Linked DNA regions of Drosophila melanogaster. The gene in region 1 interacts genetically with each later gene. Each region holds a gene or a part of one and is shown in the gene's direction. Other genes may lie near its edges. The genes, in order: ken, tll and cad.

What was found.
Region 2: of ken (region 1) and tll, changing one enhances a phenotype caused by changing the other (phenotypic enhancement), as found in Drosophila melanogaster (one study listed by BioGRID).
Region 3: of ken (region 1) and cad, changing one enhances a phenotype caused by changing the other (phenotypic enhancement), as found in Drosophila melanogaster (one study listed by BioGRID).

What each region holds. Positions count from the first base shown.
Region 1 is NT_033778.4:23,866,684-23,880,017, forward strand, and holds ken (ken and barbie), read left to right. Parts: upstream 1-3,589; 5' UTR 3,590-4,188; coding exon 4,189-4,197; intron 4,198-8,241; coding exon 8,242-8,411; intron 8,412-8,467; coding exon 8,468-10,094; 3' UTR 10,095-10,759; downstream 10,760-13,334. Other genes in the region: Mtpbeta (mitochondrial trifunctional protein beta subunit), read right to left, coding at 70-1,080, 1,137-1,311, 1,370-1,529, 1,779-1,842; TM4SF (transmembrane 4 superfamily), read left to right, coding at 12,210-12,275, 12,941-13,129, 13,192-13,334. UniProt on the Drosophila melanogaster protein: Transcription factor required for terminalia development. Negative regulator of the JAK/STAT pathway: represses JAK/STAT-dependent expression of ventral veins lacking (vvl) in the posterior spiracles.
Region 2 is NT_033777.3:30,847,494-30,857,299, forward strand, and holds tll (tailless), read left to right. Parts: upstream 1-4,821; 5' UTR 4,822-5,053; coding exon 5,054-5,129; intron 5,130-5,250; coding exon 5,251-6,533; 3' UTR 6,534-6,907; downstream 6,908-9,806.
Region 3 is NT_033779.5:20,766,339-20,776,886, forward strand, and holds the start of cad (caudal), read left to right. Parts: upstream 1-4,392; 5' UTR 4,393-4,769; coding exon 4,770-5,571; intron 5,572-10,228; coding exon 10,229-10,282; intron 10,283-10,548. Other genes in the region: dia (diaphanous), read left to right, coding at 1-252. UniProt on the Drosophila melanogaster protein: Caudal (cad) is one of a number of transcription factors controlling segmentation of the embryo.

The sequences.
Region 1 (13,334 bases):
TAAGGTGTATAAAAGCTAGCAATCTCGCAGTTAAACTGCACTCTCCTCCTTGTCGATTAATTGGCGATTTCAGTCGGCTGTGGCGCCCGGATAGCGCTCAATGAGCATAGCCACGCCCTGTCCACCGGCCGCGCAGGCGGCGACCACGCCCAACTTGCCATCCTCGCGCACCAGGCGGTTGGCGGTGTGCATGCAGAGGCGGACTCCTGTGGCGGCGAAGGGGTGGCCGATGGACAGAGAACCGCCCCAGTTGTTCCACTTGGACAGGTCGGGAGTGCCGACCTTCTCGTTCAGGCCCAAGTAAGTCTTGCAGAACCAGTCGGAGTCCAGGGCCTTCAGATTGGCCACGATCTGTCCGGCGAACGCCTCGTGGATCTCCCACGAGTCAATGTCCTTCAGCGTGAGTCCAGCCTTCTTGAGCAGCTTGGGAATTCCGTAGGCGGGTCCCAGCAGCAGCTGGTTGACGGGATCCTGCGACACGAACAGGAAGTCGCGCAGATAGGCCTTGGGCTTGAGGCCCAGCTGCTTGGCCTTCTCCTCGGTCATGATAATGCAAGCAGAAGCTCCGTCCGTGAGGAAGGAGGCGTTGGCTGCTGTCACAGTGCCGTAGGGCTTCACAAAGGCGGGCCTCAGCTTTGCCAGGCTCTCGGGACTAGACACGCGGATGCCGTTGTCCTTGTCCACGATCTGGTCCACGCCGGACACCTTGAAGGGAACCAGATCGGTGAAGTAGCCCTTCTCCTGGGCCTCCTTGGCCAGTGTGTGGGATCGCAGGGCGTACTCGTCCTGCTCGCTCCGGGATACGTTGAAGGCGGATGCCAAGCGATCGGCCGAGTGTCCCATGGTCTCGCCGGAGGAGAACTCCGCAACGGCGGGCAGCTCGGGGGCCAGGAAGTCTGGCCTGAAGGTGGACAGCAGGGCCAGCCGCTGGCCCAGGGTCTTTGCCTTGTTGGCTTTCAGGAGCAGGGAGCGCATCTTGCGGGAGTGGCGAATGGGCACATCGGACATGAACTCCACGCCGCCGGCAACGATGACATCGTAGGTGTTGGTGGCTATCAGACCCATGCCCGTGGTGATGGCCTGTAATACATGGGCTATAGATTCAAGCTCCGAGGAACTTTGGGCGAGGCTCTTACCGCATTGGAACTGATGCAGGCCATGGTGACGGTGTGGGCAGGTGTCTTGTTGCTGAATCCAGCTGCCAAGGCTGCCTCCCTGGCAATGTTGGAGGTCTTCACCTCCTGGATGACGCTGCCGTACACGATGTAGTCGATGAGCTCCTTGTCCAGGCGGTTCTTTTGCAGCAATGACCTGTTGAATGGGGCGGGGTAAGCTAATACTCCAAGGATATTGGGGATTGTAAACCTACAAAAGCGAGTGCCTGGCCAGTTCATGGGGCATCAGCTTGGAGTAGGTGGTTCCGGAGGTCAGAAAGGGTGTGCGGACTCCATCCACGAGCACGATATTCTGGCTGTTCTTCTGCTTCGGTTGTGGATTCGCCACAGCGGCCGATAGAGCGCGGCATTGAACTGAAAAAGGGTTCCGGATTCGGGATTATCCTTAGCACTCTCGTTTCGCGTTATTTTTAATCATGATGTACCCATACATTATCTTTGTCCCGCAAGACGTCACTGCGAATTCGAGTTTGGACTTTGGCCCTTTCAGATTCAATCGGCTGCTGCTGCCACAAATCGTTATGAATTATCAGAGCCAAAGTCCAACTGGTGCAGCCCGTGTTTGGAATGGGGCATACTGCAACACCCGCACTATTAACTCACCTTTCCTGGCGACATTCAACAGGTTGAAGGCGTTACCCTTGCGGCAGACATTTTGAAGGCTCATCTTGCGAAAGTTTTCTGATTTCTTTTCTCGCTTTTCTCGTTGTTGCGACTGCAGCTGTTTGGCTAGTGATGAACATGAACGCCGGATCGCGGCGAACTATCGGTTATCGAAAGCTGATGCATGAAAAGCTTTCGAACTGTAAATACCCTTTCTGAGGATCTTACTCGTAGATCATAAAGCATGACAGCTTGTAAAATTCGGTAGATCTTCATTTCCAACTTTAGATATATTTCTTGGTTATATTTGAATATACAGTTCTAAATTTTTTAGCTTCTGAGAATCGTTTACTATTCCTACACCATTCACCTTCATTCAAATGTATGCAACGCAATCTGGGAGTCCCATAAAGGAATAGATTTCTCCAATGACCTTGATCTTGATTATCCTATTAAGCGTGCTGTTTACGATGTCCATCTGCGCTCTCATTCGTCACCTACAGTCTGTATACCCTTTCCCACAATGGAAGACCATTAACCATGTCCTTGAACCGCAATGCAAGTGATAACTGTAGCAGGCAACTAGCTGTATGCAAATGGGCGAAAGAAAGGATTACTTCCAAAGGCCACTCTTGCAGTACTGTATAATCTTACATATTAGATGTACATCCAAATTTCTAAATTTAAACTTTAAATAGATTATGAATAAAATGCAGGTCGTTTTGGAACCATTGTTAGTTTCTCAATGATTTGCATACAAATTCGTTTCACTGATTGCTTTTATTGCTAACGGCACAAATTAGGTTCAAGGACGAATTTAATGGTTTCCTATAATGGGATAGCAAAGGGTAGGATGCAAATGTAGGCGGCGTGTGCATTTCAAATGAGCGATCGTAAAGGACTTACAAAGGAAGCAAATAATGGAAGGATGACGGCTTATTGGGGATCAAGGTGAAATTTCTTTAGCATGCCAGTAAAATTAATGTCTACGTTTGTACAGATGCAAATTGAGCATTGAGATTTTCTACCCTTTTTATTTATATATTTTTTATTTAAGTTTAAACAAGTTTTTTATTTCAGTTGTAGAACATAATCGAAAGCTCACATTTTGTCGGGAAATGTCCAAAGCTCCGCCTCCGCGAGAGACAGTTACAGTGGGTGAACAAAGTATATTAACAGGTGAAATGATCTCCGTGATCGCTGGATCACTGTAAGGAACCGTTATTGTTGTTGTTGCTGGTCGGTGGGCTGTGGAGGTGACGCCACCAGTAGGAAGTCATCAGAACCAGGACCAGGACACGTCAGTGGCAATGGAGCTTCACTCAAATATTGCTTTCGTTCGGCGATGGGCTGGATGGGGATGGTGGTGTTGGTACTGTGGGCGCGGATTTTAAAATGTTCTCCGCTAACTTCTTGATCATCAGCGCCATTTGTCTACGCGACGTTGGGTCTGAATCGTCAAAATCGCGAGCCTCTATAAGGTCAGCCCAAAAGCGTAAGCTTGTTACAGTTAAGTTCTTCATGTTGGACGTGAATCTTAATCTTGTGAAATAACGAAAGATACGCCAAATGGAAATCTAAAAAGCCAATACAGATCTTATTGCTGTTTTTATCGATAATATAAATGGTATTTTTATTGATTGTGTCTTTTTACATTTTAGCTAATATTAAACTAAATCATGATTGGAACATAAATAATAAATTACAAGGTAGCTTAGGAGACTTAGAGAATGCTTTTCTGTTATCGATATCGGTATCGATACATCGACCGAGCAGCGCGCCGCAGCGATCGTAATTTCTTTCCCGATCCCGCACAGTCAAAAAAAAAGGCTCCGAGTGAACGGACGTGCGCGCGCGCAAACTGAAAGTGTAAGCACAAACAGAGCGAAGCAAAGCAAGGCAAAAGCAAAAGCAGAAGCTGAAATCGAAAATCGAGAGAGAGGCAAGAGATCGGATTCTCCGTACCGCTCCCACTCGCAGTCGCGCTCGCGCCAGAAAAAGTTTTACCAATCAAGTTTTTTATTTCGCAATAAAACAAAAAGAAAAAACAAAACTTCAACCTAGTTAAAGTTAATGTTGACGTTGTAGTTGTAGTTGTGCCGTTGTAGTGAACTTTAGTGAGTGTGTGTGTGCTTGTGCGAGCGTTACCAGTGTGTTGGTGGATATTTCTTGCGTTGCGTCGCATAAAAAGCAGAAGAGGCAGCAGGAAAAGCCAAAGAGAAATTTTAAAATCTGCTCCTGTGAAAATATAAACAAACCATGGTCAATGAAATCGAAAGTTTCCACTAAGCAAGCAGCCAGCAGTAAATGGCCGATCGCAGGGATTAGGCGATCAGAACAGAAAGTGCGCAAGTGAATAGCAGTGACTATATTCATCCTGGGATTAACCAACTGCTGAACATCCAACTTAATGAAAGAGGTAAGTCTGCCGTTCGGCAGCAAGCTTTTCCCCGAGATTTTCATCATCTTTGGGCATTGCAACATCGCTGAGATAGATAAAAGTCGGGGTTGGGGTTTTGGGTCTGCGATACGTGTGTGTGGCTTGTGGCTCTTTGTGCACCTAAGCACACAAAGCAGCCAAGGTCAGAAACTAACTTAATAGTGGTAGAGAAAACAGAAAACAGAAAAGCAGAAAACTGAAAACATTCCAAGCTCGGTTTGGATCGCATCGCATCGTATCGTATGGTATCGTATCCAAAACTTTGCCTCGAAGCTTCGGTTCGTGGCGATCCAATCTTCGTCGTCATGAACATCATTAGCACTGCAACAACAACTGAACCCAGAGGAACAACAACAACTGGAGACAAGAAAGGCTTAGTGACCTTCATCGCGTGCTTTTGTCTGCGTAATACCGTCCGTGTATTGGTGCGCTCGTATGCATGTCATGGAATTTGAAGACACATATCTGCGTACATATGTACGTACATTGGCGCACGCACTCGACCAACTTAACTGCTTTCCAATAAGAGTGAAGGTGAAAAAGCACAGACACTCAATCACACACACACATGCATGCGGTTACACGATCGCGCAGATGTTACAAAATATGCTGTTAGCAAAGCCACGGGCGTGGGTTTCTCAGCGTGAGGGGGATTTTAGTTTAACGGGTCGTGGGAGGGGGTGGGGGAACTTGGAAAGGCTATTGTGAGGAGATCTTTGATTTCCCCGTTCTGTTCGCCTTATCTGGCAAATACATATTTTAAAACGTAGATCCGTTGACGGCGTCTACGAAACTAGCGCATTGCAAACCCCTCACGGGCCCCTTTCCTATCTTTCTCCGTATCGCCCAGCTTATGGAGTTATGCAATTCAAATTTGGGTCACTTTTACGAGTGTAGCATTTACAACAAGTACGAAAGAAGACAACGACGGCGACGGCGACTCTTTGCCATTTTCCCTCGCTTCTTTTCGGATCAGCAAGTCAAAGAGCTTTCGTGAAAGGGGAATGGGGAAAGGGGCAGTGGCAGCGCGGGAGAGAGCGGGAAAGGAAGAGAATGCGATGCGATGGAGCGACAGAGACAGAGAGGGCAGGAAAACGAGTTTGAACGCGCGCTCCGCTCCCTTTAACATTTTACCTTTGCGCGAGCTTATAATACTTTCAAAACCCCGCGTAGCTTTCTCTTTTGAGGCCTTCGATCGGATAAGATCCGTGCGATTCCAGTTCCATTTCGATTTCCAGTTCCCCCTTCCCTCTTCACCCCCCGCTCCCGCTTCCGTTCCCTTGCCATTCTCTTCCACTTGGAAATAGACACATGTGCTTTACATTCGTAAACACTCACGCAATCTGCACACTCACACACCAACAAACCCATACACCGACACCACAATGCGCAGGGGAAAGAGTAATTGTAAAACTACATTTACATTACATGGGAACGATGACGACGACAAAAATCGGAAAGTGTGGAAATATACAAACGATTGCGTTCTCCGTCTGTATGTCGCTATGTGTGTTTCGTTGTTTAGCTTATACCCCGATCGTTGGACATACAGACACACATACACAGCATAGAGAGGAGAAAAGCTTTTTGTGAAAGGTGATTTTATGCGCGCATTGTGAGTTAGCGCGTTTTGTTTTCGTATCGCCCTCCCCTCGACCCTCCTCCATGTCCGCCTTGTCCCTTTCATTCTCATTTCCAGTTTGCAAAAGTGTGCGTGCGAATGTGTGAGTCTCGCGAAGAGAGCGGAGAAATGTTGGGAAATACACAAACACATACATACGTACGGATCCCTAGCGTCTTCCATTTAAGGAATTATTACCATGAACTTTCACCTTTTGATTGCCTTAAATGCTGTAACGATCTTTAGTCATGCTCTGCTCGTAAGCAAATTCAGATTCGATTGCGAAATCCGCCGAGAAACTTGTAGAAAGTGAATGGCCCTGATTCGTGGAAGCATTAAGTATACAAGCACACACACTCATAGATACATGCATATATACATATGTATGTTCCGTCAATACCGCTTTGGAATTTATCTAGCGTTAGAATGAGCACACCAGATCCCCCCTTTCCTGCCCCTGCTCTCCCCCGCCCTCTCTTCAGTGGCAGTGCAAAAAGCGAAAAATAAAAGATCCATGCTCAGCTTTCGCTTGCCATTCCCAAGCCAAATACAACATTCCCATTTCCATTCTCTTGCTCTCCGCCAAGCCAGTCATTCAAGTTTTATTGAAAGTGAACGTTTCGTTCGTCTCCATGCTAAAGGAGTGGTGGAGCCAGGGGGCTGGAGCGGGGATTGGTGGGGAGAAGCAGCAGAGCGTAACAAAAAGCAAGACTATCTTTCCGAAGTTTTTCGTTTTTTCCGTTTTCGAGATCTGCTGCTGCTGCTGAACTTTAGCTTCGCTTTTTGGTTTATTACTTTTCGTGGTGCCATGCAGACACTCACTCACACTCGCGCAGCCGAAAAGAGCTTACAAGCCATGCTCTTGCACAATACAATAATGGTGGCCCCCCAGCAAACGCACACACTTACAAAAGCCCCGCTGCACTACACTTCCACGCAAACGCGACAGACCTTACACAGATACAGTCAACTACACAGAAAGAAAGGGCAGCTCGATGTTACACATTTTACATTATTTTCAAACGACTTCTATTATTTGCATCTTTTTTTTTGGCTAGAAAGTAGTTTACTTAACAGCTCTTCAACCTTACAAAAGCTGAATTTGATGTATTAAGCCTACCATTTTCATCCACATGTAAATGATCCATCCAAATTTGAATGGCACATTCACCTGCATGTTATTATTATACATAATAGCATGGCATGATGCCACATTTTTCTGCCTGTGCACAACGACACAATTGCACAGGCCAGCGAATTTCAGTGTAACAATTTCATCGCATAAAAGAAACAGCAACAACAACAACAGCACATCACAGCGGGAAAGCTTTTTTGGAGGCAACACCATTACCACAAACAACAACACGGTGGAGCTCTATGAAGTGAAGCTTTCATCTTTTCCAACAAAGCACACACACACACACACACATGTATGACGATTGTGGGTTGCAGTATTACAAAAACACCAAGTACAGAAAAACCTAAAAACCTGATTAGTAAACATTTACTATTGCTTTATGGGAAGTTTGTTAATGCCAGCACACACACACACTCACGATCACATGCTGAAATTCCAGTAATGTGTCGCACTAAACCGTTATGGAAAGCACTTTCCAATCTCTTTACACGATCCTTTTTCTAACAACGCGCACTGTGCGCCTGTGTGCGTGCATGACACAATCGCTGGAAAGTGGTAGAGAGAGGGGGCACAGAGGGAGAAAGAGAGGGCGACACAGGCGGTGAAAGGCGGATTGTGTAATACCAAAGCAAAAAGATGCAGACTTCCCATTCCACAACTTTCTATTTCACTGGCCCCACTTTTACCACATGCTCCACATACATTCGTTAATAACTTCATAAAGTAGTCTTGCAGTTTAACTTCTATAGCTCGAACTTCCGTAAGTCGGTCGTTAAGCAGCGGCTCATAACTCATTGATCGCCAATTATCTTTTGAAATTACTTAACTTTGGGAACTGTAACTTCACACTTTCTAAACGACACTAATGGTTCTAGTTTTTGTGAAAAATAGCTAAAGGCTCATTGCTCGAAATCTCCTCAATGAGTTGATTAAGTTCGTACTATCAAGCTCTTCGCAAGAGAACAATCGAACCATAAACAATTTCAGAATTCCTGTACCAAACAGCTACTGATAACGTTTTCATAATATTACTTGTCCTAGGTCAAGATTGCGTGTTGGGAAATGGAATATTACGTATACGTACAAATTAGTACTTTATTTCGGCGATTGCGCCTCAGAATTTGAGCAAGTTTTTCCAAGTAATACAATTGAGTAGAGCTAGAGAATTTGTTCTGCAGTTCATGGCAATTTGACACCCATGATCTGGGCCAAAGAAATAGCAGAAATCTAACGATACCCGACATACTTGCTCTTCCACTTGCAGTTTCAAAGAATGTTGATGTTGCAATACAGCAAGCATGGCGAGTGCATACTCAAAGAAATCGGAGCAGCCTTCAGAGGGGAGCACCCGGCGGACCTGACCATCGTCTGCGAGAACAAAGTAAAGCTGCACGCCCACAAGTTGGTCCTGGCGGCCGCCAGTCCGTTGATAAGGTAATCTACATAAAACACATACTCTGCACTGAAATAATGCGTCGTTTGTACCGTAGGAACCTGCTGGAGGACACCCACTTGAGCGACTGCTCCACCACCGTATACTTTCCGGACGTGAATGCCACCTACTTTAAGTTCCTGCTGGACTTCCTGTACTCGGGGCAGACGTGCATTACCTCACGGGATGTGAACTATCTGCACGACCTGCTGCTGCTGCTGCAGATCAAGTCGGACAGCTGGAAGACCACCGACTCCGCCTATCTGAGCAGCAAGTGCGGCGGCCTGCGGGATCGGGCCGACAGGCGGAAGCAGCAGTACACCAGCCCACAGAATTTGGAGCCGGATCAGACGCTCAAGTACGAGGTGGACAGCGTGGATGAGTCGCGCAACGCCGCGGATTTCTCGTCCGCCTTCAACTCCAACGACAATTGCGAGAGTGCGGCCGAGTGCGAGCGGAGTGGTGGCCACAACAACAAGGAGGAGGACGAGGACGACTGCACCCACAAGGACAACAAGAGCGACAAGGACACGGACGAAATTGTAAATCTCTCGAATGCACCGCCCAGCGGCACCAGCGGCAGTAACAGCAACATCAGCACCAGCAGCAACCACCAGCAGCAACAGCACCACCACCATCACCACCACAACCACAACAACAACAATAATAATAACAACAACAACAGCAGCAGCTCAACCATAAATCCCGTCAACCTTTCACTCGACCTTCGGACGAAAAGCGAGAACTCGGCGAGCAGAACCCTGGGATCCGGATCAGACCACAGCGGCATCGACCTGGCAGTGACAGCGAGCGAAAGCACGAAACGGAAGGGCCTGTTCTTCGACTCGCACAAGGATGTGATGAAGCCGCTGTCCGATGGGTCGGACATCAACAGCTCGCCGGAGAACTACGTGGTAACGCCGCATCGGAAGCGGCGACCCGGATTCCACAACACGCAGAGCGACAACCAGCCGTTCACTTCGTACCCACACAGCCTACTGGAGGAACTGCGCTTGGCCAAGTCGACGACGTCGCCCATTTCGGGCTTTGGATCGGAGAAGAACATGCTGGCGCACCTGGAGGACGGAGCACTCAATGGGGACACACTGACGCCGGACAGGAAGCATCTGCTGGAGGCGCAGCGCAATCGAGCCCAGAGTCCCGAGATACCGATGCACTTGGGCCCCCAGTTCGTGTACCAGTGGCAGTCCAACCAGAACGCAGCCATGTCCGCAATGCCCAATCTCCAGTCGCGACTCTCTAGTCTGTCGCACATCAGCCTAAACCTGGATCATCCGGAGGGACGCAGTGGGTCGGCCTCCGGTTCGGGTGCGAACTTGGCCGGCAGCAACACGCACGCCTCCTCGGTCCGGGAGTATCGATGCGAGTACTGTGGCAAACAGTTCGGCATGTCCTGGAACCTCAAGACCCATCTGCGCGTTCACACCGGCGAAAAGCCGTTCGCCTGCCGCCTTTGCGTGGCCATGTTCAAGCAGAAGGCCCACCTGCTGAAGCATCTGTGCTCGGTTCACCGGAACGTCATCACCACCACCAACGGGGCGGATACGGAGAACCGGTACAGCTGCTGCTTCTGCTCCATGTGCTTCGAGTCGGTACAGGAGCTCGTCCGTCACCTGTCCGGCCACCACAATAACCTGCTGCTGACAAAGAATCTGCGCGAATAGTGTCCCGGGCATCGGCAACCGCATAATCCGAGAGTATCCCATCTGTCCGATCCGATCCAAGTCGATCCGAGGTGATTCGCCGGACGGACAATTGCAAAGAGACCTGAATTTTAAATAGTAGCAGTAGCAGATTTAATTGCCTATTGTATAAATATGTAAAATCTAAATTTAAATCCTAAGTTTACGCAACGCAACACATTCACGCGACTCCGCTCGTTCATATTTCACGCAACGGCCTGGAGCTCCACATCTGAATCCGCATGATCCTCGATCCACGATCCCCGATCGGAGGCCACTCACGTTGATTTCTCATTTAAGTTGTATTCGACATCCAATCCCTATTCCAATTCCCCGCAAATGCACCACTACCTACTTACACCCCCCTTGCTCTAGAAGCCCAATCCAATACTTTTTAAGCGGCTGGTCCATTCAGTGGAGCACTTATTTGTAAGCATATGTCTATACGAGAGGTATTTTAATTGCTATTGTATTTCCAACTCGTCTAGCATGAACTTCATGGCCCAAACTTGTACCTATATCTACATTTTTGATAGTTTTGATACACTTTTTGTGTTAAGATTTTACGTATTCCCTCCTAAAATCGCCAATTAAAGTGTGTAAATTGTACAGTATAATTCGCAAGCTCGTAATAAAATCAGAAAAGCATTTCCGTTTGTTTATACTCTTTCGATCATTTTTAGAAATATATTTTACTTTAAACCGACGCTGTGTTGTGTGCTATTTTAAGAGGAAGAGTGGGTGGTGTATTTTCCATTACAGGTTCTTCATTTCTATTCTTTCAGGTCAAAATAAAAACATTCTATTTTAGTAATATTGTCGCAATTTGTAAAGCTTTATTCAAATTTTGGCGCCCTAGAAAGCCGTTATAAACTTGGTATTTTATGGGTATTTTCCAAGTGGATTAGTATATTATAAGCGTGAGTTGGCAGCCCAGATGCCAACAAGTATATTTCATTTGTTGTGTGTGCTATATAAAATATATATAGTGACGTATTTGGGTGGTCCAAACCAGCCACTTCCATTATTTCAAAGAAATCAGTAATGCACTCTAGTAATTTTCCATAACGTATCCCAGCTGCGCAGCATTCGTTTATCTTTGGCAGCGCAGCCGTTCTTGTAAACATCCTAAAGCCTGACCTAAGCAGATTTGACTGCCCTCTTTCAACGCTACCTAATCTTAAGAACCCAAGAGCGAGGCTCTCCCGAAATACAAATATTGTTCAAATACTGAGGCTTCTCCTCAATCCAATTTGCATTTGATTTTTAGTCTTAAGCTGAGATCCAAAGAATAAAGTCGTGAAACTATTTCTCCTAAAAACTATTTTTTATTTCTTGGCGTTGTCCTTAGTCAACTGACGGGACATTAGTTCGACTCATAAATAAAACAACAATTTTACTATATTAATTATAACATTCTATTTGATATATTTTTAAAAATAATTAAAAGTTCACTTTATCAATTAAGCACCCCATACGATATAAATCAGTCATTGAAGCTTACCAAGCATACGTACGTACAGAGATAATTTGCGAAATACCCGAACTTAGCAGCAAATGGAGCACTGTTTAAACTCCGCTTTCGTAAAGTAACGGCTTTTGGCGCCCGAGTGGCGCTGTCATCGGAATCGCGATTCGCAAGCGAGGCGACGGTTATAGATAATATTCGCACTGCTGGTCGCTGAAGTATAACAAAACAAGGAGCCAACTGGTCAGACCGTCGAATGCGTATTTTCGACTGCGGACGATTTCGAGTCGCTCGGAGTTAACGTTAACTGTTATTTTTAGTTAAAAATTGCATCCGATCAGTCGGGAACGCGAGTTGAGGCCCGCGACTATGTGGTGTTTAAAGACAGGCATCCGCAAGATAGGAATCTGAATCGGAATCTATATCTGAAACTGAATCCGGAGATTCGGCCCAAGAACTCCAGCTCCAGATCGAAAGTCCACACACACGCACACCAGCACCAATACCCATACCATACCCATACCCACGGCGACATATGCACACAATCGCAGTCGGATTCGGTTTATTAACGGTAGTTCAGTGATTGCGGGAAAGGGACAGCGAGCGAGCAGCGAGGATAACGGGAAAGGATGGCATTGCCGAAGAAAATTAAATGTTTTAAGTATTTGGTTTACAGTTATGTGGTGCTCCTAGCGGTAAGTTGCATTGCTGTGCGCCCAAACGGGGCCACAACTACATGCTTGTCAAATTACATAAGCCTACATTGTACTCACACTCGAATGTATTGTATGTATGTACGTATTTATGTATGTTGATTGTTTGTGGGTCGCGAAGATTTCCAGATTTTCATATTTGCATATTTCAAAAGACATCAATGAAAGAGACACCCAAATACACCCTTTTGTCTCGACAAACGGAGTTAATTAGTTTCTGAAAGTAAGTCAATTCTACCCATGTAGATAACACTATTGATACACACCCGCCAGTGCATTTCTACATCAGTAACATACATCGTACACAAATCATACATCGCTGGCAGGATAATGCCTTGCGTTCGTTCTGGTCCCGACTTGCGGCGACCTTGAGCTACTTAAAGCTGCGCTAAGTACATAGGCACAAGTATACACATGCGTGCACATGGGGCTCCTTGGCATGTGACGTCAAAAGGGAGTAGGCCCCATTGCCACAGTATCCATGGTGTATACTACGTGGTGCAGGGCGCATCCCGAATACACACGGTGCAGCTGAGGCCGCGTCCAAGGACACCCAGAGTGCGGGGCCTTGAGATGAAAATCAGCAGGCAGTGATAAGAGCAGCGCCCGTAATCCTCATCCGTATCCTTATCTCTACTCCCTTGCAGCTGACTGGAGCTGCGCAGATCTTCCTGGGCACATCCCTGCTCTGGGGTCACTCGGTCTACTATGGAATTGTGCAGAACAAGCTGTGGGCTCCGGCCGCGATCCTGCTTTGCCTGGGACCCGTCACCTTCATCCTCTGCTGGATGGGCTGCCAGGCCACCAATCAACGCAAGCGATGCCTGCTGGGAATGGTAATGGTCATGTTAGGCCTACTTCAGTTCCATCGTAACCCGTATCCTTTGGATTCACGCAGTTTGCCGCCCTTTTGGTTGCCTGCATCTGTGTTCAGTTCATCATCTGCGGCTGGTCGCTGGCCATGAGGGAGAACCTGCCCACTTCCGTGGAGATCTTCATCGACGACTCCTTTGTCGAGTTCTTAGACAAGTTTTCGCGCAC
Region 2 (9,806 bases), on another chromosome or scaffold:
CAACCTCCTTTGGCCTGTCTAATAAAATCAAAGAGATCTACCGCTCCTAATGCAACTATCTGCCAAGATCTGTGAACACTTTTAGCCGGAAAAGCGGGGCGAATTCGGTAAGAGTTCGTAGATTTTCTATCTCCTGTGGAAAAAGTGAAAACATAAACACATTTTACTCGCAAATTTTTGCAAGAAATGTGTAAAATTTCTCGGCATATCTGGGAATGAAATCCGAAACTTTTAGCAACAGTCTCGGGCGTGAGAAATGTAACGCAGATATTAGACTACTCTCTATCTGGAATAATCTGCGTATGACATAATCTTAGGACTTAAAGATGCAAACGAGACGTGGCCTGGTTTCTGGCCCTCTAAATCTTTTCAAAAACAAAGGGCCAGCGGCAAACAGGACATCCTACTTAACAGCAGCGAGCTGGTATTCAATTGTAAAAAAGGCAAACAAAAAGTCCTTAAGTTATGTTGGCTGGCAAATGTTGAGCGCGAAACAAAGAGGCTCCTCTTTGCGAGGACCACAAAAGGTCCTCAGATTCAGACTCAAAACTAAGGTACTGGCACTTATGCAAGGTCCAACTAATACACCAAGAAAAATTAAAAGAACTCGCTTGAAATGCAAAAAAATACTAAAAGGCACAATTTGAAATATAGTTGTAAGATGTTATAACTTTACATGACCTTCTATTAAATATCTAATATCTTCGTAATTGAATAGATCAGTAGCAAACATTTGTATAAATTTTCTCTTTGTGCAGGACATAACAATCAAAACTGAATTGGAAATGGAAGCAGCGACTTCATCACTTGTTTCCTTTGGCTCTCCTGTTGCATAAATAATCTCGGGGGCATTCAACAGTCTGAAATCGGAGAACTTGCCGGAGAAGACTCCGAATCTCGCATCGGATATCGGGTCGTAGTAGTGGCCCAAATCTTGGAGGTGTGTCCCATTGTTCTGGCCGCGTTTCCGTGGCAGCCACGAATATGAAACCTATCTGGAGGATTTGATTTTGCACGTGCAGGTCTGGGAACCTCGGCACTCCGAGGACCCGATTCTGGCTGTCAAATCCCGACAAAAGTTGCTCAACTTTCTGCCGGCGTGTCCTCCCGACTTGCGCAATTTTTCCGAGGATATTCGAGCACTTTAATTTCATGTTTGGGATTGTTCGCCTGATTTCTCAAGATCAGATTGCTTATCTGTGTCCCCGTTCCCCTGATTCAATTTGCCCGCCGTGTAATTATTGCGCTTTTCCTAGGCTGTTTGTCCTCTTTAGGGTCTAATAGTCCACTTCCTGCCTTTCAAGCCTCTTGGGGTTCCATTTGCACTTCAGTTTGACGTGATTTGCGAGTCGCTTCCTGTGGATCTCGTTCTCGGGAAAGGATATTCGGAGCTATCTCCTTTACTCCCCTGTCTGTTTGCACTTTTCAGTTTGGGTTTGACAGGCTTTTTGCTTTTACGAACTGGTGAACTTTGCTGTCTCGCTCCGGCGGAAGTTGTCGTTAAAGGTTTTCGTTTCCGCAGTTTCTGGGTGCATTTGCATATTATGAGCGCCAAAAGACTTCTGATTCTTTGTCTTCTTGGCGCCAAAAGGGATAATTGATGGTTACGCAATCGGGTTTGGTTACAGTTTGGGAAAGAGTTAAGCCCGCCAAAAATGTAGATTTATTTGAATAGTTATTCGCTCTGAATTTTTATTCTGATCCGAAATAAATCTAATTCGTGGATTTGCAAATCTTTAGAGATTAGTAATGTGTCGAGACTAACGGCGGCCTTTAGGACTTGAAGGGTTTGACAGTGGGTGTGGGACTTCTTAAAGATTAAGTCCAATTTCTGTGTCTTTAAACCTAAGCATTCTATATATTTTACATGAACATTCCTACGCATTTGTGAGGACATGTGCACTGAAATGCAAAAATTTTTCTGCGACACCAGATAGCGACGTGCCATAAAACTGAAGCAAAACACTCATCTAATGACATTTCGGGTCTTTCCCATCAAAAGTCTGGCGCGATTCATAATGACCAAAGCGCAGGGTCAGCGGTAGAATATCTCGGGAAATAACCATGGAAATAGGGTCGGTCTTCCCTCGAAGAGTTTACTCAATGCTCAATGAATTCGGAGCGGCGGCGGCAACTTTTGGGCCATAAAAGCGAAGAGCGGGATTTTTCCACCTCCAGCATGCAAATGAAGTGAATTTCCCAGCTATTTAACCCTTTCATTTCGCTCGAACCTCGAATTGCCATTAGCCGTGTGGCGTCTTAACCCTTTTCTCCGAGCCGTCGAGCAATTCATAAAAACGCAGCGAAAGTGCCATAAAAATCGAAGCCAACCCAAACGGTAGCACCTGCATTCTTCGAAGACAAAAAGGTGCTAACTCGTAATTAAGACGAATAATCGCTACCTAGATCCTTTCGCTTTTCGTCCTCAAGGAACTTTGTAAAAAAGTCGCAAAAATTCTGGGAATTTTTTATTCACTTTTATTCATCGGCGACCTTGAATGGCCGTTTTGATGGCGGTGGGTGGTTACCTGGCTTAGGTAGGCGATAGACTGAAATATTCCGACCTGCCGGTGACTGCTGTTTCAATTCTTGTGGTGGATTTAGCGCTAATCCCCCGGATTAGCGACTGAACGGCGTTCCGAGTTCATTAAGCAAGGGAGCTGATAGTTGGTCTCAATGAAAGGAAAGGGGAAATCACTACCAAACTCAAACTTCCTAAAGTCATATATTCCGTAACTACAACTTGATGAATGACAAATTGCTTTATTGCCACAATCAAGAAATGTTATCTCTAAAATTCCAAATTAATTAAATAGTAATTTTAAATGTATTGGCCCTTGGAAACTGTTTAAAGAACTATGCGAATTGACTATTACCACATATTAGTTGTTATGTTAAAAGCAATGACTAAATTTTCGCTTAGTTGTGAACATACTCATACAACGTGGGAAGATCGAACAGATGCAGCCTCCTCATCTGCATATTCACGAGTTCCCACAATTATAATTACTTCAAACTCAATGAACGGTCAAGGGAATGTCAAAAATTGATATGTCATCGTCATCTGGTTTAGTAGAGCATCCTCCCCCCATGGAAGTCCAGCTAATGATCGGAATAGCAACACACGCAAGCGAATTCCCATGCAGCACACCTGAGTTCCAATTAACCACCCCCTCCGATTCAGCATCATCCAGGGGTTGACTAGTCCAATTAGAACCCCTGGACATTGCAACCCCTGGCGACTGTTGTTGATATCATGTCAAGCATTTTATTGATCAAGTTACGCATCCGTAATACGAATCGAAATATAATTGCTCTTTTCAAGTGTCTATCGTATATCAAATGAATTGCATTTGCATCTCCGCCCTTCTGCATTCGAGTCCGTTCGAGCAGAGAGCTGTTCCCACGTTCGAGGTCCTGGATCAGGATCACATGGCCTTAGGCGTTGGTGCGTAATCGCACCAGACTTACAGGATCTTGCTTAACATTATTAAGTACTCGCCCGATGCTGGGACCTCGCACAATGTCTTTCTTTTGAATTCGCTGATCCCGAAGACAGAAAAGCTTGATCTAGCAGCCTCCCGACCAGCGTGCCTTTTCCAGGCAGTACCACTCCCGCGATCTAAAATCCGTAATCTGCTTAAGCGGCGAGCTTAAGTCGAGGAATCGGTGGGTCCTTCGGGACTTGGCAGGACCAAGCGAGATTAGAGGCACTGTCCACTTGAATCCTAAAGGCTCTCAAAAGGCAACGCCTAATCTGGCTCAGCCGCGGGAGCTACTATCTCAAATGGCTAGCTCCCATTTTAGTAACATGAACCTTTGATTTTAACAACTCCGTTTTGGGTTTACTTTAAAATAATTTTATTTATTAAGCATTTATAAAAATTATTATTAAAAACGCAATCTGAGCTCCGCAATAATTTTCATAAAGTATTTTTAGATTGAACCTAAAAAGTTGCCAAAGCTGGCTAAGAAATGCAAATATTTGTTTTTTATTTTAATCAGTGCATATATTTTATATAGGAAATACGTTGTATTTGGTTAGCAGAAGTTATTCCAAAATTTAATTTTATGGGGGAATCGAAGAATTTGTTTAGATGCTCAACATTATAATGCACTTTCTTAATTAAAAAATGTTGAGTACATTTTTTAAAAATTACGATACAAAATTCATACTCAGATTTGTGTAAAATTGATAAGCTCAAGAAATCTGTACAATCTGATATCTATCAAAGTCTTTAGATTTATCATTTCCCTAAACATTTATATGGTTGCATCATAAAAACCTAATTACTGAATGGAAAACAATCAATAGTGCGTGGTATTCAACCCCTGCTGCTACTATCGCCACTCGAAAAGGACTCGCCTCGCAGGACTAGAAGCGAACCCACAGGTACTTCACACAAATCACAAAGCGGCAATAATGGCAGCGCCATAAAATACTCGGCCATGGATATGGAAGGATATCTCTTCATTAACAACTGTCGCAGGACGGGCAGAGATTCTCTGCTGCGAGAGAGGGTAGCAGACGGACGAGGAGTTCGCGTGAGAGAGCAGGTAGTGAATCCTGCGGAAAAGGGCCATAAAAACCGAAAGAATTGAGAATGAGAATGAGCGACGGCTGCTGCGTTCCTTGCTCAATGAATTTTTCGCAATGGCAGCCTGCCGCAGGATCGAAGGATTCTCCAGGGGAGAGTGAGAGAGGATATGCGAGAGAGGGCATTAGAAGCAACCCTCTCCCGAGTTTCGACCAATGAACGCGGAGTTTGTCTACCTAAGGGTGATCGACTGCTCGATGAATGGATTTGGTCTGCAGGACTATTAAAACGCCGGCGGTCCTCACAGCAGACAACACAACCCATCGTGATCTCAGCGAGTCCACATCGGAGTAACCAAGGATATATCGAATATATCACACAATCCGCAATACCGCCGTCCACCCAAACCGTTAAAACAAAAATCCAAAACGACTCAAAGATACACCAGTGCCAAGTGAAATTCAATTTGTGCAAGCGTTTCTACAAAAATCGCCAAAATTACGCCCCACATCGGTATGCAGTCGTCGGAGGGTTCACCAGACATGATGGATCAGAAATACAACAGCGTGCGTCTTTCGCCAGCGGCATCGAGTAAGTATAGCAAAAAAAAAAATCAGATAGCAATGAAAAAAGAAGAAAACAATCTTCCTAATATATAAAATTAAGACAATCCTTTACTTATACCAACTTTCCCCCCTTCTTGAATTTCCAGGTCGCATTCTATACCATGTGCCCTGCAAAGTCTGCAGAGATCACAGCTCCGGCAAGCATTACGGCATCTACGCCTGTGATGGCTGCGCCGGATTCTTCAAGAGGAGCATTCGGAGATCCCGGCAGTATGTGTGCAAGTCGCAGAAGCAGGGACTCTGTGTGGTGGACAAGACGCACAGGAACCAATGTAGGGCTTGCCGACTGAGGAAGTGCTTTGAGGTCGGAATGAACAAGGATGCAGTGCAGCACGAGCGGGGACCGCGGAACTCCACTCTGCGTCGCCACATGGCCATGTACAAGGATGCCATGATGGGCGCCGGCGAGATGCCACAAATACCCGCCGAAATTCTGATGAACACGGCTGCCTTGACCGGCTTTCCTGGAGTACCGATGCCCATGCCTGGCCTGCCCCAGAGGGCTGGTCATCATCCTGCTCACATGGCTGCCTTCCAGCCGCCACCATCGGCTGCCGCTGTCTTGGACTTATCCGTGCCACGAGTGCCCCATCACCCGGTGCACCAAGGACACCACGGTTTCTTCTCGCCCACCGCCGCCTACATGAATGCCCTGGCCACTCGGGCCCTGCCCCCCACTCCTCCGCTGATGGCAGCTGAGCACATCAAGGAAACCGCGGCGGAACACCTATTCAAGAACGTCAACTGGATCAAGAGCGTACGGGCCTTCACCGAACTGCCCATGCCGGATCAGCTGCTCCTGCTGGAGGAGTCCTGGAAGGAGTTCTTCATCCTGGCCATGGCCCAGTACCTAATGCCCATGAATTTCGCCCAGCTGCTGTTCGTCTACGAGTCCGAGAATGCCAACCGGGAGATCATGGGCATGGTGACCCGCGAGGTGCACGCCTTCCAGGAGGTGCTGAACCAACTGTGCCATCTGAACATTGACAGCACCGAGTACGAGTGTCTGAGGGCTATTTCGCTCTTCCGTAAGTCACCACCGTCGGCAAGTTCTACCGAGGATTTAGCCAACAGCTCAATCCTGACAGGAAGCGGCAGCCCGAACTCCTCGGCCTCTGCTGAATCCAGGGGTCTTCTGGAGTCGGGAAAAGTGGCGGCCATGCACAACGATGCCCGGAGTGCGCTGCACAACTACATCCAGAGGACCCATCCCTCGCAGCCCATGCGATTCCAGACGCTCTTGGGCGTGGTGCAGCTGATGCACAAGGTCTCAAGCTTCACCATCGAGGAGCTGTTCTTCCGAAAGACCATCGGCGACATCACCATTGTGCGCCTCATCTCCGACATGTACAGTCAGCGCAAGATCTGAAAAGTATGTAGAGCCTAGACTAATCGCCGCACTCGAAGTGCCTTCCAAGTGCTGGGAACTGTGATAATCTCGGAAGAAGCGCTTTGGACAATACTCGATCAGTGAAATCAACGATTTCTCATATCCAGGAGTCGAGCCTTAAAATACGTACACAACACTCACCTTAATACCTTACCTAAACAGAACTCGAAGTAATCTTAGCTAAAGTCTCTCAGACCATCCAGATGTGTTTCAAATTGCATTCGCAAAAGTTTCAACTTTGCCTGTTAAATACGTCAATCGTAGTTTTAAACACTTTAGTTTTAAGCGCATATTATTAGCTTTAGGATTTGGAAAAATAATTATTCAAAATAAACCTAAAGGTTTTCGAAATGAACATTAATGGGTCTTTTTGGGTGGATGCAATATTTTGGAAGAAATGGAACTGACAGTTTCAGAACTTGGATTTGGACTATCGGAAGTTTTAAACTTGAAAAAATATATTTCATTAATTAAATGAAAAAACGTAGTATTCACATTATTTGAAAGGTCTTTTGGTTTTCAAAAGCTATGCTTAGAAAAAATATATCTAAACTAAACAAGAAGTAGGTCCTAGTTATTTGCGCAACTTTTGTAAGCAGCTGAAAGTGTTATGCCAAACATGGAATCATGAGATTACACACGGAATTATCATTCTTTTTATGGCCATTTCGTGAGGCTTTTCGCATCCTTAGAGACGACAAAGCAACCGCACAGGGCAACCCAGTTAATCACAAATGAATTATGCAAATACTGGAACAAAGAAATATTAGATCGCAGAAGAAACCGTGGAAAATTAGCATAGTTTTTCTGCATGAACAGACCAAAGTCGGCATTAATTTGGGAACCTGAGGGACGCAGTGCAATGGCCGCCCCAGTTTTGATATCCTTTCTCTCCCGCCCCGAAATTCGAAAAGTTAAAAAGCAAAAATTCACTTTTGTGACTTTGTCGAGCGGCGTTGGATCGTCGCATTGCTGGCAGGACCGGGAACGGGGTTTCGGGGATCGGGGATCGCTCTGCCGGAAGGACAATTGAATCCTTTCACAATGGCCAAGCAACGTGCAGCCGGAGGTAAATGAGTTTTCGCTGGCAAAGGCTGAACAAACAGTTGCCAAATTGTTCGAATTGCGTTGGCCAAAATAAACAGAGATGAGTGTATTCCACTGACACACATCCATGGCAGTAGCGATGAGGATGTGCAAAAACCTACCCTAACTGAGAGTCCGGAGCCCAAGCCTGATTCCAATCCAACCACGGCACCCAGAACATCCTGCGGGGATTGGGATTGGGAATTAAGCATGCTTCGTTGGTGCTGCCATTTCGACTTTCGCCAAAGGACGACCCTGTGTCCTGGGTGCTCAGGCGGTTCACTCGGATGCTGTTGAACCCGGGGTAACAAATTGTGATATTTCTATTTCCCTGCGCTGTTGAGCCCTTTTAAGTCCTAATGGCCCTTTATTATCTGCCTTTAGACTTTTAATAGACTCAGGCACCAGGACACAGCAACGCAGAAACACCGAGAGCAGCACCCGAGAGTCCTTTCGATGGATGTGTGTGTTGGCCTAATCCTCATCATTCTGTCATCAGTGACGTTTTTCTGCACATTGTTGGTTGGCCATTGTTTGCGTCTTAATTTGCAGTTTTCTCTTGTAGTTTTGAACTCTCGCCGGCGAGCAAAAGGATTTTCACATTTTTTCACTTTTTGATTTCTATAATGTCCCTTAAAGAAGGAGACCATCTTTAAGATGACTTCAACGTCGGGTGTGATACTACCATGGGGCTCTTACTTCATGGGATTGAGATCTACGAAAAACTAAATCAACTGCGAAAAATGATCATTTTAAAATTTACAAAAATGTTAAATATTATTTAAAAATATGTTACTCTTAACAATTTATACGAAGTCCTCAGTTAAGGCGTAGATTTAGCTCAGAGTCCTTTAGAAATTAATCTCAGTTTGCGGATTCTCTCCCCTTAGACTAGACTCAATTTAATCCATTTGAAGGTTGAAGGCGGCTTGGACTAGGACTCAGACTAACTTGTGCCTCACTTGAACTGCATTAAATCCGCGAGCTTTACCTGCCGAAAGGGGGTGGGAACTGGCTCATCTGGGAGAAATCTCAAGTGGCTGGCGGTCCGAAAATTCTGGGGAAATTCGGAACAAGTATGTCGGAATCTGCGGGATTTTGTATAACGCGTTTAATTCATAGATTTTCGTTGATTAAGTAATCCCCGCAAAGGGCTCAATGAAGGCGACGCGTCGGCCGATTAGCGCAGTTCGCGTAAGCGGGATGTCCCGAGTTTGTACCCAAAGGCAGGTGTGGGTTAACAGGTTAAGGGTTTCGCAAGCTTAACCCACACAGGACCTCTCTCGCTCCCTCCTCGAGGCTCTCCTACTGGCTCTGATCCTTATCCAGGCGCAATTACCTAGCGAAACAAAAATATGAGTATGCAAATAGATTTTAATGGGCAGGATTACCCTTTTGCTAAATACCAAAATCCTGGACGGGCGGTCTGCGCACCGCAGCTCCTTTGTTTTCAAATGTAATGAGAATGTCTCTAAGCCAAAATATTAAACATCCGTTTGAGCCTGGCCAGAACATACCCATACATACATCGTCTATGTATATACGTATATTGCAAATCCGGCTTCCGATTGTCCTAGTTGTTTGTACCTGAAGTCAGGACGTTTCTCTCTCTCTCGTCCTGCGGCAAGCAAAAGTCAAAGCGGCGTTGTTCTTGTAAATTGAGTAGCTCGATTTATCGCCAGATCAATTTTCTATATCTGCCGCTCAGATAAGCGGGTATATAATTGTTTCTGTGGCTTATGCGCTGCCAACTAAGCCTGGTTTTGGTCTTGGTTTTCGTTTCGCTTCTTGCCCTGAGCCTTACTTAGTAGCTTAAGTTCTGCTTAACTTACTTTAGTGGGCAAATGGCAAATTTTAGGCGGAAAATTCTACGAAATTCTTTGTATTTGCATACACATCCGTGGCGGCATTGTCTTTGACGCTTAGTCGCATAATTTGCCAGACAAAACGGTCATAGGACTAGAGGGGCAATGCACTGAGGAAAAAAGGTGATTTTAAATTCTAAATTTAGTTGCATTAAGTCAATATTCAGTATAAAAGATATTTTTTTTACATAGGTACCTTACAAAAAACCTTTTGTCGCGATTTATCCACAGAATTGTGCGACTTTTAGACCTCATTAGACATAACACTTAAAGCACACCAGCTGCTTTCTAACAAGGCTGT
Region 3 (10,548 bases), on another chromosome or scaffold:
CGCCAACAGCGTAAGAAGGCAGTGGTTGACATGGATGCCCCGCAGACGCAGGAAGGCGTGATGGACAGTCTGTTGGAGGCGCTGCAAACGGGCTCAGCCTTTGGCCAACGAAATCGACAGGCCCGGCGACAACGACCGGCGGGAGCGGAGCGGAGGGCACAGCTCAGCCGGAGTCGATCGCGGACGCGTGTCACCAACGGACAACTAATGACCCGCGAAATGATCCTCAACGAGGTTCTAGGCTCCGCGTAGAAGTAATGGAACGAGCAATTCCCCTCTGTACATATATAAATAGATATCTGTAGCGATATAAGGGCCTGGGCTCATTAGCCGTGAGTCCGTGTGCGTCGCCTTGCTTGCATATCAACTCAATTGGCGTGTCCAAGAGATTTGACGAATTGGATGCCCAGCAGGAAGGACTGTATCAAGAGCCGCAAAGTACTAATTAACTGGAACTAGAGTCACAGGTGGATTTTCCGAAATTATTAATTGCTGTAACGGAGTCCTTGGTTTATAGGATTGAGTTTTCCGTTTGAATTGATTGGAGTATTTATTTAATTGATTGTTTAATAAATAACATTTTGTTTAGAATTTATAATATGCAAATAACACATACAAGATCACTTTTATTTAATTAAAATGATTGGCAGGCCTTTTAATTTCAGCTGTACATTTTATTTTACTGCTATGACTGTCCCAATATTAAAGTACCAATTTTACAAGTCGAATATACTATAAAAAAACTTCTAGTTGAAACTAAATTCATGTCAAGAAATTAGCAATGCATATCGATGAAAACTCCAACTTCGCTACCTATACGAAAAAACTAAATATATAGATATTTTTGATACGCTTTTACTTCTGAAATTATGTCGTTGTAAGTCTAAATACTTAAAAATGAAACTGAAAGCAACTTTAAGATTTATCTGTATCTTGTGGTCTTTACATACTGTATTCCTATTTTACTGTGGCATGTTCCAATCATTTTGCTGTGCACTTCGTTTTCGAGGCACTCAGTAGAGCAGAGGCGAGATTTATATCAAAGCAAAATTCCTTTTGTATTTAATTTGTTTTTAAGCGAAACTTTTTTGAACTTGTTTACCTTAAAATCCTATTTTAATCCGCGCTATACATAACATTGTTAATAAATGTCTATTTTTCGACAATGACGGTATATTGAAAATAAAACTACCAAATCAACTGCTTCTCAACCAATTGATTGGCAATAATCCTGGAATATTCCACAAGAAGGCTTGGCTGCGAATCCGAAAGCAATTTGGGCTTTCCACCCATGTGTGACTTGCCGCCTTTTGTTGTTCTTCTCCACTCTAATTTGTTTTATTAACAAAGATATTTTATCGCCAATGTCGCGGCACCCATAAAGGTGCTTGATTGCGACGGCGAAGGAGGCGGTTGCTCGGCTCGTACAACGCAAAATGCACTTGCTGCGGGATCGGCTGGGGGTTGCGGGTGGGCGGAAGGGGTTTCTGGAGGGGTTTGGCCCGGCAAACGGCCGTAAAACTCTCAAAAACGTTAAACGAACCGACAAACAGCGAATGCCGCACGACAATGATACGTCTACCATCCATACATATCCATCCATCCACACTCAAATCCGTCTGGCGTCGACGCTCCACCAAGCCACAGATATAGGTTGTTAGATCGGGACTGGAACTTGGACATATCTGTAATGGTCTGATTGCCCCTTGAGTTTTATTTCGGAGTCTGCTTTATGGGCTATGGCGCTTGCTTTGCTTTCTTTATGGATTTATTAACATAATTGAGGGAATATGTATAAATACCATTGAATTCGTAGCAGGTTGTTAATGTCAATGGCGGGGACAGATTCTAATTTACGATGGCCAGATAGAGATGCATTAGAGTGTTTTACAGATTGAAATAAATCTTTCATTGCCGGAAGGGCAATTCGAAATGGATTCTCTGCTTTCGATTCAACTAATCGTCGGGGAACGTTTGTATATTATAATATTATGTATTATGTTTGTAATTGATCAACACTTTCTATTTGATGAAAAAATATTACAATCTTCTATCAAATCTTGCGTTTGTACGACCAAAATTCATGATTCATCTCGAATTTGCCGCCCAGGGGGAGTTACCATATGTTTACATAGATCACTTAGGGATTAGCCTTTTTGTGCGCCCCTAATGACTTCCAGGTAACGGCGTGTTACATGACTTGCCCGTGCCTGGGATGAGACGAGGAGCCCAGCCTTATAGAGCCCACGGGTCGTACCCTTCCAGGCCCAGCCCACGCAGTAAATTCCACCGAATTGTTGACGGTTTGCGAAAAAGAGGAAAAAACAAATCTGGGCTGTGGCTGCCTAATTGTTGTGTGAATTTTATGGGCCGATCGATGGGCAGGTCAACGCATCAGCACCACCTTACAGGCCTTGTTTGGTGTCCTCGTTCCCGTGCGACCTCTACGATCGCATCCTGGTTTCTGTATTCTGGTCTTTGGGTCGCAATGGCGATGGTTATGGCGAAAGCGATCGCGTTCGCGTAATCATAAAATCACCTTTTGTGCGCGGGCCTTCGATTGTTTTACAACATGTTTTGTCTTACGGACATTAAGGGGTTTTTTGTTTGCAAACGAACCCGAACCAGTTTTTGGTAGTTCAGCGTTAATAAGTGAGTATTGAGTACCTCCCTCGCGAGGCCAACTGCCCGGTGTGCTTCTGTTCCCGTGTTCCGCCGAGTCCTTTTCGGGGATATGTCGGTTATCCTCCATTGTGTCAGCTGCATTCACTTCTAATTATTTGACGCGACATTTGCAGTTTGCAGTTTTACGATCCCATACCGAGCATCGAACATCGCGGCAATCAATGAATTTATTTTTTACAGATTTAGAGAGGATTTCTGGAATCTCGGGATTACTCAATCGGCGCGAGCTTAGCGTTCTTTTTAGGGATTACAATTGGGAGTAGCTGTGTGGTATCGAAATTCTTGCGAAAAATTAATAAGAATGGTGTTAGCTGACCTGGAATTTGTGAGGCAGGAATATGTTTAACCAACTATACCTTATTCCAATGAATATATTATATTCCTTTGTGTAAGGAAAAATTATAGTCAGATAGTTTGAAAATAATTGGACAATGATTTCACATTCTAATCTTAGGGTATATTACATGTATAGTTTTATAATTAATGCCACAATATGAATATTTGGAATTTGTTATATTGCCAATATATTATAATAATTAGGCGCGTTTGCAATCTTATGATCACACGCGTGTCTGTCATAAATTATAAATAAATCAATTTATTTATTATTATTCAAATTGCGTTCAATTATTAGTTTTTATGTTAGTGAGGAGGTTTTGTAAATGGGTTTATTGATATTATTAATTCTTTACCGTATTGGGCCAATTTTGCCTTTTGCTTCACGAAATGGGTAACACTTTTGCTAAAGTCGTTATGAAATAATAATCGATATTTCAATTCCACCCATTTGTTAAACTTCCAGCGAAGTTTGATCGAAAATAAGTTCTCATGGGAATTTAAATTGATTAGTCATATTTTTGGTAATGAAGCTGGAAACTTTCGATTTACATTAAATGATAGATCCGTCAAAAGATCACCTCATTTTTAGTACCATCTTTTTTTTTTACATAAGCCCCTTGTATCACATCTTGCACCTTATCAATGCCAGACTTCTTCCGCTATATTTGAGTTCCCTGCGAATTTTTATCGCTGCTTACATGTCAATTATGGCATTAGCTTTACAACTAGAACCGAACAATAGTGCTTTGACAATATCGAGGCGCCCATATAAACAGCGATTGCTTGGCAAACACCAAAAGTCTGGACATCAAGTGTGTGCAGATCAAACACGGTATATGGATATGGAGAATAAAATCCGGAGGATAAAACATTGATTATTCCCCAGATAGAGGTACATATATCGCGACTATTACGACCGTGGCAACATAATTTTACAGCCACTAATTGCATAATACACACGCATCTCCGCAATTACTTAATTAGCCAACGGCAATTGCAATTAAAGTACATACAAATCGAAAGCGGGCCATAAAGGAAAAGGGGTTTTCTTGGCCAAGATATTACGACAAACTGCATACCTGGCTCAATGGGGCGTGGCCACCTGCCTGCCAGCCATCGCAGACCGGTGCGAAAGAGACGGAGCACCAGACAGACGGAGATAGCGGTAGTCAAGCACTCAGGCCATCTTGAATTTCGACCGAGCAACGGAAATGAGGGTTAAAAACGCCCAAGTAAAGGCACTGCTCGTGCGCTAGAAAGAGACAACTAGTGAGTGCCGACTGCGGTGGTTGTTTTTTTTGAGCCTCTCTGCCTGTTTATCTGATTTTCCACTGCTTTGAGTTTTTTATCAGTCGAGTCTTGCTCTACGTTTCAGTACGTGTTCGACCTGCATACTGAGTTGACGTCGCCACGCACGGAATAACATTTCAAATTAGTAGATTAGCCCTGCAAAACAAAAATCCATCTCGTGAGTGAGTGCTGAAAAATAGCGTTTCGAAATATTATCGATATCTCGGTCGTATGTTACTGTGCTCCCAAAAAACACATCACCAGCCAGTGATAACTGTAAAGATTGACAAAGCAAAATATATCCATTATAACCCAAACTGAAACTCCAGAAAATGTGCAACTAAAACATATTGGCCATCAAAGTGATAAGACTTAGAGATTAACGCCGGATTATTGGACACCGGACCGAGCACTGGGACTATCTTCGGAGAAAGCGCACCTAATCTAACCTCAAAATGGTTTCGCACTACTACAACACACTGCCCTACACACAAAAGCACAGTGCCGCCAATTTGGCCTATGCCTCAGCGGCGGGCCAGCCATGGAACTGGACGCCCAACTACCACCACACGCCGCCGAACCACCAGTTCCTGGGCGATGTGGACTCCTCGCATGCCGCCCACCACGCGGCCGCTGCCCACCAGATGTACTACAACTCCCATCACATGTTCCACTCGGCGGCGGCGGCCTCTGCCGGGGAGTGGCACTCACCCGCCTCGAGCACGGCGGATAACTTCGTTCAGAATGTGCCCACGTCGGCCCACCAGCTGATGCAGCAGCACCACCATCATCACGCCCATGCCTCCAGCAGTTCCGCCAGTTCCGGGAGCAGCAGTAGCGGTGGTGCACCGGGTGCGCCCCAGCTCAACGAGACCAACAGCAGCATCGGCGTCGGAGGAGCAGGCGGTGGCGGTGGTGTTGGCGGGGCCACCGATGGAGGACCAGGTTCCGCACCACCCAACCATCAGCAGCACATCGCCGAAGGTCTGCCGTCGCCACCGATTACCGTTTCGGGCTCGGAAATCTCTAGCCCGGGGGCGCCGACTTCTGCCTCGTCGCCGCATCATCACTTGGCACACCATTTGAGTGCCGTCGCCAACAACAACAACAACAACAACAACAACAACAATAGCCCATCCACCCATAACAACAACAACAATAACAATTCGGTGAGCAACAACAACAGGACATCGCCATCGAAGCCGCCATACTTCGACTGGATGAAGAAGCCCGCCTATCCAGCACAACCACAACCAGGTGAGTCCTTAGAGACCCAAGAATATATTAAATACAGATTTAGTGTTTTATGAGGGGGTATGATCGGTTACTTCATAACTTTATGAGTAAGGCTAATAACCTGCTTTTACTGCAAAGTTAAGGTCTATGCTTGCCATTGTCACTAGCTTGTATGAGTTTTTTTTTTTTAATCGAATGTGAAATAAGATCTTACTCACCGAAGGCTTTTAGTCCGAAAGACCTCGATTACCCGAATTTTTGTGTATTCAGCTACTTAGTCATTCCACTGACCTTCGATTCCGCGTACCCTGCGCTTGGGTTTCTCCCGCATCCGCCTGGCTACATTCCGAACCCGAAGATTCCATATTGCCCAGCACATAATGCACTGCATTGTCTTCCCGCCAAGCTCGTGCTGTTCGCGCTTTTCCCTGTCCATCTCTCACGGTACATATATGGGCTTTTATAAGAATCCGTTTGCCTGGCGCGCATCCAAGTCCAAATGGCCAATTAGCTCATAAAAATCAAATTCTGTTCAAGCTTCACTTTTATGATATTCAGTTGGGGTCGCGAGATCCCCGATCCGACGCCTTGATTTATGGCCACCCCGTGTTCACCGTCCACATGAGTGTTTCTGTTTGTTTGCTCCACTCTGTCTCCGTCTCGATTCCGATTCCATTGACTAATTTTGTATCGTAAATCAACTTAACAACTATAAGCATTTGAAAATGGTTTGATCAACTTACCAATAACCAGACAGCATTTGATGGAAAGTCCATCAGAGTAGAGGACTGGACTGTAAAGGCTTAGGAAAGTTAGGGAGTTCGGAACCTATTTCACAGCAATTAGCATTATGTGGAGTGTCTAATTGAAGGTTTCACTATTTTCTAAAAATAGTGAATATTCTGAATAATAAGTGAATAATACCCAATTCGACTCTCTTCTCTCAGTTCATGCAAATTTTCTGTGATTATGTGGATTTCTTGCGTTTTGTTTGCTGTGTTTTCCTACACCTCTGGAAAAACAAGCAAAGGCAATTCAGATGGCAGTGCAGCGATCTCAAACATGAGAAGGAATAAACCACTCACACATTTGTTCACGATTTATGACCCGGGCGCATGTCAAGAAGGGGAAAATGAAGACGACGATATCGACGATATCGACAATAACGCCGATATCCATTAAGCCCATAAAATCTGTTGGCATGCAATTAGCGTTTATGGCCGCTAATCCAGCTGATCAAGCCGACAAGGCGACTCAAGTTTGCCTTATTTATTATTATTCAAAACCCCCTTTAGCCTCCGCTGTCTGAATGTCACCTTTCTGACGCGCGACTGATTGTAATTCTTGCCGTATTTCATTTGCCTAAAAAGCACAAATATTTAAGTAAGAATAAATATTATATAAAAATAAAGTTAGATATTATTTACAGCCACTATGAGCGATCAGCAGCACCTTTTGCCAACACTTTGCTCAGGTATTATCTCTCTGGCATTTTCTTTGAATTGATGGTCTCGCCAAATCGAGTAATAATTAGTAATCTGCCTTTTCCAACAGAAGAGAAGAGGGGGGCTGTGACTAACACTTCGTGATTTTTGATAGAATTATAAAAGGTCCATTTTCCGTTGTCTGCGCGGCATGTGGCGGCATGTGGCGGCAGGGCACGTCGAAGGCCCACTTCAGCTTTCGGGGTGTGGCAATAAAACGGCAACCACGATTGTCGCTGGATGCAGATGCCGTGTACTTTTGTTTCAATGGCTGGTGGTTCGGGCGGGTTTTTCGATTAGATTAGCTAGCGTGGGGAATCAAATAAACGCCCGCCCTGTCAATAAGTCCTGAAAACCCCACCCAACCCATGGGGCTGCGAGTTCTATTTTCTGTTGCTTCAATAATGTGCCGAGTGATATGGAAACGTGGCCACAAAAAAAAAAAAAAAAAGAGTTCTTTGCGTGTTATCTAAAACGTCAAAAGCGTTGTTGATAAGCGATTCCGCTGCGTTTGCGACGGGCATATTGATTAAAACAATATAGGGTCGTAAACCAATAAAAATTAGTATTACTTCCAATAAAAACTAAATAGCGACATTTACGATCAAATCTATGCAATCATTATTAAACGGCAAGAAATTTAAGTGTCCATAGTTCAGAAAAGGATAGTTCCAACAATTCTGGTTTGCCAAAGTTGGCTAAAGTATCCAACCAATTGTATCAGTTATCCAATGTTGCCCAAATAAGGCTCCTCATTCTTTGATCCTTCGATTGGCCAACATCTCATTGCATTGAACGCACTTAGCAATACATTTTTGCTTATTAGCTGTCCGTAATTTATTGTCGTTATAATTTCTCCGGAGAACCAAATGTATCTAGGGGCCCAAGGAGTTCTTACTGGGATTGTCTGTAGATTTTCAGCATTGCCCGTGTTGGGACATAAAAACTAATGCCACCTGACACATTGAGATTTAATGTGTCAATATGCACAGAAAATTTATATCTAGCCACATAAATAATCGAAAAAGAGAGAGAGAGAGAGAGAGAGAAGGAATATATGGCGGGCTTGGATTTATATTGCTTTCCCGACGCATCTGAAAAGTGTTGTACTGCTCCACCGGCGCGGATGGGATACCTTTGTGGTCCGATTTTGGTCTGGGTCCCGCTCCGAGTACCAGTACCGTTCCCGGTCCCAAGATAAGCCATCGAAAATGGCCACTAGCTGCAGTGGAAATATGTTTGGTTCGGTTTCCTTATCAGCACTATCGCTGTTTGCCGATGACATTTACCCTTCCCGTTCACCCGTCCAAAGTTTCCTCCTCCGCTCCTGCACGGGTCAAAAATGAAGTCGATTTTTGGCTGCGACTGATCTACGTGGAGTGTGCGTTTGGATCGGTGATTGACATGATGGGATTAGCATTGGAACTCGCTGGCCAGGCCGTCCCATCTCCCTGTCCGTTTGTCACGGACTTGTTACCAATGTGTCGTTTGCTCTGGGCTTAGTTGTCCAAATAATAGAATAGAATCGTGTTTGGGTTTTCCTGCTCTATTTGTATTGGCCCTGATATTGGTAATAACCAGAAATTCGAGTCTTGTCCCAAAGCCCTGCGCACACAGCCGTATATATGTCCATATACGCATAGGTCTCCACTTTCGTGTACATGTTTTTGATATACCATTCGAGGCGTATCGAGTTTATATTGGAGGCGCTAGGGATTCCGGGGGCTTAAATTGGGGTTACGGACAGCTTACTCAACGGAGTGATAAATTAAAATGGTAGCTGTTCAAAATGGGTGCGAAATGTGTCGGACGATGTGTTATTTATTAATGGAAATTGGCGCATTTTATTTTGATGAATTATAAAACAATGTAGAATGTAAAGACCATGGAAACTAATTTAAACTACTGTACAATCCATTTGGAAATCTTTGCCTCAAGTTATTTTATCAATGAAAGTAAACAGCAAAGAGAGAGTCCAGAAACTGTAAATTATAGCCACGTTTCCTGTTCGCCATAAACCATAATTCCATAATGGGAATACTGCGATGTACATATGTACATAGTTCGTATCGGGAAAACGAGGCGAAAGCCTTTTGTTTGGGGGGCAACTTGGCCAAGTGACAGGGAAATCCGATTGTCAATCAACGAGGTCCGCCTGAATTATGACAACACAAAACGTTGCAATGATGATGGCTCGGACGGACGGATGACACCTGCTAGTGTCTCAGGCCAAAGGCAACCCGCGATTGTATGATTGAGTAGCTGACTGATTGAAGTTTAAGGCTTGATGATTGTGGAGTGGGAGGCGGCAGCGAATTCTGATTCAATTTCGAGTCGTTTGGCGATTCCTTTTATGAGGTGACAACATTTACGATACGGTAGCAAAAACGGAAAGAAAGATTTGTATGTATATGGCCGGTGGCCAACGTTAATCGCTTAACAATACAATAAAGTAGCAATAATTATAAAAACTAAATGAAATGCCCCGCCATCGTATAAATGACCCACAACCATGAATGAACCAGTGCGCGCGAATATATATGATTGCCATATTTGTGATTTTTATGCCCGACTTTGATTAGGATGATTATACGCTTGATGAGCCCGCGGATTACTATTGCCCTTCTTGTTTGGACTGTAGGTATCTCGGTGGTATATGGTGCTCGCCAACTGTGCCACATATGTACTTACATATATTCCCTTCCGATTCTGTTTGCGCCTGCCGCATTTGCTCAGTTTCACCTCGGAGTTCAGGCAAATATTGTTGCACACTGACCCGAACCCCCTGCCTGGGCCAAAAAACACTGAGATAACGGTTAGGGGGCGGGGGGGGGGGGGGGGGGGGCGGAGAATCGGTGGGGAATGGCTGGGGAAATTTATAGTGCTTCCTCGGCGCAGCCGTAAGAATTTATTGCACATTATTTTGTCTAATAGTTTTATGAAGCGCAAATTTACTTTCAATAATGTGGGCTTCAGTGGGCTTTTAAGTATTTATTGTGGCTGTAGTGATCAATGGGTTGATACTGATTTAAAGCGGTTATATGATTTTATTTGGTTGGGGCTGAAGCTGCGAAAGTGGCTCCATTTCTTAACTCAAGAACTTATCGCTAAGTAAGAAATGTTTTAAATAACTTGTATACTCTCATTGATGAACACAGAATCTAATCCCATGTATAATTCCCGTCGAATCGCAGACCTGAGCAGCTCGCCCAACTTAGAGGATCTGAGTGATTTGCTGGACGCAAGCGGTAGGAGTCGCATCCACAGTCTGGATATTTTCCATTTATTACTAAAAAAAACTATAGTTAACTTTCCTTTGTTGCCTCTAATGCGATTTTTGTGTTTTTCGTTTTGATGCATGCAATTTTTTTGATTTGCGACTGAGTGGGGAAGGTCGTAAAGACCCCCCTCCGCCTCATCCTACTCATATTCCCCAAATCATATAGCCATAAACTTTATTGCGCTTGCATCGTCGTGGCAAATAATTAACGTACATTTGAAAATAATTTTTAGT